2 linked regions of the Cricetulus griseus genome follow. The protein of the gene in region 1 purifies or fractionates together with the protein of each later gene. This does not show direct contact. Links are inferred from orthologs where the notes say so. Each region holds a gene or a part of one and is shown on either strand. Other genes may lie near its edges.

Region 1 (4,388 bases):
CTATCATTGCTGCAGGGGTGTGTGTGGGGGGGTGCGGGGGCTGAATCATAGCTACTCGGAGGGAAAGCAATTCAAAGTAGTCCTTGGAGAAGGCAGGGTTTCTTTCTCTTTTTTGGACAGTTCTCACTCTGTAGCTCAGGCTGGCCTTGAACTTCTGGAAATATGCCCACCCTACTCTCCAACAGGCTCGGCTTTTTCTTTTCCAGTATCTGACCCACTCTTCTGGGGTTGCTAAGGACAGATGCTGGGCCGCAGAGGAAAAGCAATTCGAACGCGCCCTTGGAGAATGGGTTCTTTTCTCATTGGGGCCCCGTAGCCCGTAGCCTAGGCTGGCCTGGAACCTGTGACCGTCCCTTGCCTGGGCCTTTCCAGTGGGCCCCGCCCTCCCTACACCTCTGTGACATTGGATGTTTCCGCGGGCTGTCAGGGAGGACAGACACCCCATCACAGCTGCTCCCCAGGGAGGGCCGCTCCAGCCAGTCCCGGGAGAGCGCCGGCCGTTCCTTCCGCCTCTCCTGTCCCCAGGCCCAGCGGATCCCTCCCGCGGGCGGCCCCGAAGCCAGAAGCCAGCGAGGGACCGCAGGCAAGGCTACCTCAGAAGGCTCAGGCCCTCAGGCCCCAGCGCCTCCCACAATGCCTCGCTGCGCAGTCCCCTACGGTGTCCGCGGGCGGGGGAGGCGGCTGTAACCCGAGCGGGTGAGGGGCTAACCCTGCTGCTGGCCCGCAGCCCGCGACCCAGAGAAGGGGCGGGGACACCGGCCCTCGGCCCGCCTCCCCGGCCCTCGGCCCGCCCTTCCTGGTCCTCGGCCCCGCCTCCCAGGCCTTTGTCCCGCCCCCAGATCTTCCACCACGCCTCCCAGATCGTCTGCCCCGCCCCTAGACCCTCCGTTCCGTCTCCCTGACCTCTCGCCCCGCCTCCCAGGCCCTCCGCCCCGCCCCTAGACCCTCCGTCCCGCCTCCCAGGCCCTCCGCCCGCCCCTAGACCCTCCGCCCCGCTTCCCAGGCCCCCCGCCTCGCCTCCCAGGCCCCCCCGCCCTAGAACCTCCGTTCCGCCTTCCAGGCCCTCCGCCCCGCCCCTAGACCCTCCGGCCCCGCCTCCCTGGCCATCGGCCCCGCCTCCAGGCCCTCCGCCCCGCCCCCAGGCCCTCCGCCCCGCCTCCTAGGCCTCGCCCCGCCCCTAGGCCCTCGGCCTGCCCTCCGGGCCCGGAGCGGCCTCCCCGGCCCGTGCTCGCCGCCCTCATCCCGCCCCTCTGCGGGGCTCGGCGGGCCCCCGTGGTCCCGCCCTCCCTTCCTCCTCTGCGCCGCTGTGCACCGCCTCCCGCCCCGGCCAGGCCGGCGTGCGCCCTCCCTCGCGTCTCCTCCGCCCGCCGGCTCAGCCCTCCGCGCGCGCCGCCCTGCGGCCCGGGCCTCCTCAGCCCCGGCCCCGCCGCTCGCTCTCCGCCGCCGGGTCGCCGCGGGGCCGCCTGGGCCGCCGCCGCCGCTCAGCCAGGGCCGGGCCGGGCCTCCGCCGCGGGCCGTGCACCCGGGCGGCGGGACGGGCTGCGACGCGCAGTAAGTACAACTTTCCCGGCCCGCGCCCCCGCGGCCCCGCTGTCACCCCGCGCCCGCGCCCCCAAGTTGGCGCTGCCCGCCGGGGTCGCCTCTCCCCGGTGTCCTTGGCGAGCGAGTTTAGAGGCCACTTTTGCGGGGAAGGGAAATGCATGGCCGGCCCTTGGCCGTCCCCTGAGCTCTCAGACGGGAATCGGATGCTCGCCCGGAGGGAGAGCCTTCCCTCTGGAAGGGGAAAGTGGCGGTTGGCAGGCTTCTGCATTTTGTCCGAACCGGGGCCGCCTGGCCTCGTCGCGCAGCCTCCCTCCCTCCGTCCCGGGTGGCCAGCCCCTCCGGGGAACCGAGCCGCCCGCCGGGAGGGGGCTTGCAAAGTTCGCCGCGTCCTGTACCCCGCAAACTCGCCCAGGGCCCGGCCCGGGGAGGCTCAACTTGAGGGGTCGTGGGCTTGGCGTGCGAGGCCGCTGCGGGCGGCCCGGCGGTGGGCGGCGGAGACCGGCTTGCGGCTGGGGTTGCGTCGTCTCTGCACCGCCGAGCCGCCCGCCCGCCCGCCCCGGGTTGCCGGACCACTACTTGGGACATAATTGCAGGTCAGCGATGGTCCTAATCTTCGGAGGTCTAGGAGGAAATATGCGGGGCGCAACACACTTGAGCGTGTGAGGTCAGCCCTGCCAACACATCAAAGCCTGGCGTGAAAAGAAAAAAAAAAAAAAACTCTCCAGCCCGCTGACAGCAGGGACGAACACTTAGGGACTTACCGTAGATTGGGGCGCAGAGATTTTTCATGACATCTGTTTTGTTCCAGGGAAGCATTTAAAACCTAAGAGACCTCTGCTCAGTTGTAGGCTGTATGTGTGTGTGTAGGTGTGTGTGAGGGGGTGTTAAGGTAGTTTTTCTTTTTTAGAAGTCTTTCATCTGTGGTTGCCAGGGGTTTGGATCGTGCTATGGAGGCTAAGAACCGGCAGGTTTCCTGGTGTGTGCTTTTTGTTTTTTGTTTTTTTTAAACCTATCCTTTGCTTGAGGCTGTCCCTAATGTCTGTCAGTTCGCTGCAGGGGGAGGTGCTGGTGAACACAGGAATCAGGGCTCCGGACAAAACTGCACGCTCAGTTTGGGAAGTGGTTTATGCTATATCTTTTTTAGTGGTCATATGAGTGGTTTTTCTGATCTTACTTAAATCCACGGGGAACTTCCCCCAAACCTCAAAGTTACACACGACCGGTACTCCATTTAAGAAGACTGGATGCAGTTTGATAATTCTTCTACCTGTGGGTCTGAAGGGTCAGAGGCAACACAGCGTAATTTGCAATGAAGGTGATTAAATCTTTTCAACAATCAGTCATTTGCCCCTCCCCCTAAGCGTTTTTAGATGGTACTTTCCGAACTAGATTCAATTGGCCATAATGGATGAGATCTTTGTAGGTGATCAAGCCCCTATTCTGGGCTTCTGGTGCTTGGGGGGACGGTAGAGAGTCCCTGTAGGGAGCCAAGCCATGGGACTGTGCACCTAGGAAAGGTTTTCAGTTAGTGTCAGTGTCCTGGAGAGAAACACAGTTACAGAGGTGTCCAAGTCATTTCAGTGGTCACAGTTCCCAGATTGTGCAGGTTTTAGAGATATTTGGAAATTGCAGATTTAAAATCCTATAGGATCGTGGTGTCATTTTTCTTTGCATCTTCTTTGCCTTTTCAATTTTTTTTTTTTTAAGCTTGTGACTCTTAAATTTGGAATCCTTGGTGCTTGGTTTTCATGGCCCTTTGTATTCAGAGGGGTGTATTAGTGCTTGATCTGAATGCCTGGCATTCTGAGAAATGATTAATTCTTCAGAGTATCCTGTTTCTTACTGAGTCTTTTGCTGTTGTATATAATAACTTGGGAGTAAAATTGTTGTTTACTGCAGGATATCATTGTTCTTTTTCCTTGTAGTTAATTTTTGGCAGATGGTTTTGTCAATTTATAAAACGTTGAGAAGGAGCTGGGCGTTGGTGGCGCACGCCTTTAATTCCAGCACTTGAGAGACAGAGGCAGGCGGATCTCTGTGAGTTCGAGGCCAGCCTGGTCTCCAGAGCGAGTGCCAAGATAGGCTCCAAAGCTACACAGAGAAACCCTGTCTCGAAAAACCAAAAAAACAAAAAAACAAAAAAACAAAAAACCAAAACAAAAAAACATTGAGGAGACCCAGATAACTTGCAAGTATTCAAAACTTGGGAGATTTCCTTCTAGGTGGAGGTGAGGTGGGGCTGCCTCATGGAGATGAAACATTAGGAAATGTAAATAATGAGCCAGCTACTCACTTTCCTTGGAGGTTACTTTGTTCCAGTCCTAAGTAGGTTTCGGAATTCCGGAATTCCCGTTCCCTAGTGTTCTGTGGACTGGAAGAGATACCTTTTGTAGCAGCTAGCCAGGCTTGTCAGGGATTTAAGGATGTGCCCTGCTCCTCTGGTTCTGTGATCTGTATTCACAGCCTTTAAAACGCGTTACCACCGCTAACAGGAAAGCTACGAGCAGAGCACCTCCCAAGTGCCGGGCACATCTCTGTCAACAGTGGCAGCATCTCCCATGTCCCCAGAGCTTACTTGGTGGCCGTCCATTGGTCCATTGTAGTGTTTAAACACAACCCCCTACCCTCCTACCCCCACTTCCTTCCTTGAGGGCAGTAACAGTGCCCTCTCTACTCTCCGGTCCTGGTGCACATAGGAAGGAGTGTTAGTAAATGGTAAATGCCTGTTGGTGTAGCGGCGGTGTCTCATTTATGCTACTCCCTATGTAGACCAGGCTAGCCTGGAACTCACAAAGGTCCTCCTGCCTCTGCTGAGTGCTGGCACCACCACACCCAGCACATTTATG
Region 2 (3,811 bases), on another chromosome or scaffold:
GAGTCAAAGTCAAGGAAATTATCCATAGAATTATCTTCCCCAGAGCAGTTTTGTTGGTTTGATGCCTACCACATATAAGATGAGCACTCTGGTGCCACACCCCAGCCCTAGACCTATTTTTGGGGGGGGGGGCGGGGTCTCATTGTGCAGCCTTGGCCAGAACTCAGAAATCAGTAGCTATAACCAAGGAGATCCACCTGCCTCTGCCTCCTGAGTACTGAGATTAAAGGTGTGCACCTGATTCCTGCCTGCTAATAAATATCCTTGTGCTTTAAAAAAAAAAAAAAAATGTGACAATGACGGTATTTTCCTTGAGAGGCAAGAAGAAAGAGTTCTGTTTTCATAACACTTGGCTTACAGTGAGACATGTATCTATACCAAAATGTCTGCATGCCTTGTCCAAAGCAGTGGGCTAACCTATCAAAGAATTCAAGCAACTCTTAAGTGAGGAACAGGAAACAATTCAACTGAAAACTGTCCATTGGCTAATACTGGGCGGGGAGAATACAGTTTACAGAATGTATCAATGGGGATTAAAATTTTCCAATTTAATTGCAGGCATAGGACATTTGTGGACACTCAAAACCAGAAAATGCCCTTCTCCTCTAAGACCTAACAGGTGAACCACAAAACATGGTTTGAATAGATGATAAATCTCAGTCACCATCATGAGAGTTACATAACACTTTCAGTTAAAGTCTGTGAGTTATTTTTTACTCACAGTAAATTTTGTTTTCCTCATTGTAGCTTTTGGTTGTTAAAATTATGCACTCCCCATTTTCACGTAACTAGACAGCATCACACTGTGAAGGTGCACAGATCTGCCTAGTGTAGGGCCTACTTCTTTAAACTACTGAAGTCTAAACACTGAGTGCTACTGTACACATGTAGACTACCAGGACTTGTTCTATAGTTCTGCTTCAGAATTTCAATGAATTTTATGTTTCACCAGAAAAATAGCTACTTAGCAAGATCTGAGGCTATAGTTAATTGCTCCAAACACAGCCAATCTTATAATTTATTGAATGCAATTTTATAAAATATCATTTACTTCATAGAATATGGTAACGCCAAGTACATCCACAATAATCTTTATGCATGTATGTAGAACACACAGGCTGAAACTAATTACTACAGCAGGTTAAAAAGGCAAATTAAAGCTAATACGTGCTAAGTGATATAATTACATTATCCTGGATCTAGAATAATTAAAACAAGATTCCAAAATACACTAATAAATCATGCATGCTCAACTGCACACAGCACACTGCTTAATTACACTGACAGACTCTGCTGATTATTTTCATGTAGTAATATGAAAAATAAGATAGACTATGCTGCTAAAGCTAGTCCATGTAGCCCATTATTTCTATGAAATGATTAAGCAGTAAATTTAGAACAGATTCCAAAAGTTAATGAAGCCATATGTATCATATAGTTCAAACTAATGTCAGGGTTAACAATGAGGTAATTTCTGCATTTAAAAAACACACAGGAGATAGCAGACGAAATACACGAGCATCAGTAGCAGCAAGGCCAAATGCTGTCATTTAGTGAAAAGTGTTCATAGAGGACCGTGGATCTCAACCTTCCGAATGCTGCGACCCTCTAATATAGTTCCTGATGGTGCAGTGACCTCAACCGCGACATTACTTCTTTGCTATTTCATAACTGTAATCTTGCTACTGTTATGAATCATAATATAAATATCTGATATGCAGGATAGCTGATATACAAACCTTGTGAAAGGGCTGTTTGAGCCCTGAAGGGGTACAACCCATAGATTGAGAACCACAGATATAGGTGATGCTGCTTTCCAAATACTAAGACATAAATAACATAATGACTAATGAATGTAAGAGTCCAAACAGGAGATGTGTCCTTTGGATTTTGGTTTATATATATATAAAAAAAAATCATCACAAAAACATTCCTATGCAAGTAAGACTAAAACAAAACAAAACAAAACAAAAAAACTCTAAGGTTGTTTTTTAACATGGTAAAAGGTAGTCCATTCCATTCCAATGTTACCCACATTGCCGATAAAATTCTCATAACAGAAAAAAAACATATTTTCCCCTGCAATTCGATTTCCCATAACGAAAGCATCTGAGTGAGACTGGAATACTGGTGCTTACATGCAACAAGACTGGCAGCTCTATAATCATGATAAGCTCCTTGAACCATAGTTTCTATGGCAACAGTCTAACTGTCCATTCTTACCTGCTCTCTGGTCATCCACTGTATTGAGTTTAGTCTCGTCAGCTACTGTTAAAAGGTAAATGTATAATGGTTAGCCCAGTTAGTCCCCAAAGCCCGACATGCTTTAACCCTCCCCCAGCCTTGACCGTTAGAGCACAATTCTTAGGCAATATTCCATGCAAAAAAAAAAGGGGGGGAATGAAACAACAAGCAAACATTCATAATCAAAAATAAGAGAAAAATAAGCAGTATCTTCATGCAGTATGCCAGTCATTTCATCTCACAGTCATGTGTTATTTGTATGTTAGTGTATCATCATTAGCCAAGGCAGTGCACTGTCTAATTTTATATATATATATATATATTTTTATGACAAATTAATGCTTTTAGTCTTCAGGTTCAAACAGCCACCAGAAAACAGCATAAGTCATGGTTGATTAATAATAGTTTTTTTAAAAAAAAATTTAGTTTATACCTGTATTAATTGAATTATTTTGGGGGGCAGATTTGATTTAAAGAGAGAGACTACCTGATTGGTGTCTGGCTGAACAACTATGGCTATTTTCCTTCTCTCATTTGTTCCCAAATTTGTTCTAGAATATAATCTCTCAAGTTATTAATTTGATTCAAGGCCATAATTGTTAAAGCACAAGAAGTTCCATCAATTAGCACCTCAAGAAGAGCAATCAAGGAGGGCACTGGCAACGAAGCACTAGACATGGATTGAGATAATGGTTTCTCTCCAAAATGTTTTCTACTTAAAAATCCCACCAAATGGAATCTCAAAGGAAATTGCTCCTCAAATGGACAAAAGATTAAAACATTTCATTTTGAAATGAAGCAACAAGGATACAGCATGGGTTTGCTTCCTTTCTCATATAAAAGTACACGTCAACATACTGCTTATATTGTCAACATGCTATGTGGAAAACTATTTTATTTTTTTTTGACAAATTGCCACATTTTAAATTTATTTTCTCTATTGGTAAAAATAAGCAGATATGTGTTTGGGACCATCAGTTTCATCCTGCAGCATCCACGCCTTATTTAGATAAAGATTCATGGAGATTGTACTCACTACCTAAATCCATGCTTTTTGATTTTCGTGTTTTAACGAAATCCAATTGACTGGCATCTGAAAATTGCTTTGTGCGTTTTTCTGACATACTCTGGCGTCCAAATCCTTCTCGTTGAAAAGCAAGTACCGGATCAGCATCAGGACTCAAAGAGCTGGTGTGAAGAGAAAGAAAAACATGAAAGTATTTACTAAAAAGTAGAGACATTCATTTTAATGAAGATCCTATATATTCGTTAGTGCATGGATAGATTCATATTATTTAAATATTTAAGTTAGATGTATAATATACCTCACTTTTAAAAGGAGGCTAAATGGAAAGTAAGAGAAAAAATAAAAATTGATTTAACCTTGAAGTAACTCTGTGGGTATAAACTTTCTTCTCTATTTCTTTCTGCCCTGTTTCTTTAATGTGTTCATTAATATATCATTATTTCTGTTATTATTTAAAATGAGTCTGCTAATTGTCAGACATTGGGAAGGCTAAATATTTGACAAGACTTGCCTTGTACTGTAACATGTAGCCATATAAAC

The links.
Region 2: the proteins of Rassf8 (region 1) and Pard3 purify together in Homo sapiens (affinity purification with mass spectrometry; 4 studies listed by BioGRID and IntAct, counting the BioPlex papers as one, with this or other methods). This does not show direct contact. The link is inferred for Cricetulus griseus from reciprocal best matches to the Homo sapiens genes RASSF8 and PARD3.

The regions. Positions count from the first base shown.
Region 1 is NC_048601.1:3,906,296-3,910,683, reverse strand, and holds the start of Rassf8 (ras association domain-containing protein 8), read left to right. Parts: upstream 1-1,403; 5' UTR 1,404-1,551; intron 1,552-4,388.
Region 2 is NC_048596.1:204,253,537-204,257,347, reverse strand, and holds part of Pard3 (partitioning defective 3 homolog), read right to left. Parts: intron 3,433-3,811; coding exon 3,281-3,432; intron 2,269-3,280; coding exon 2,224-2,268; intron 1-2,223. UniProt on the Homo sapiens protein: Adapter protein involved in asymmetrical cell division and cell polarization processes. Seems to play a central role in the formation of epithelial tight junctions. Targets the phosphatase PTEN to cell junctions.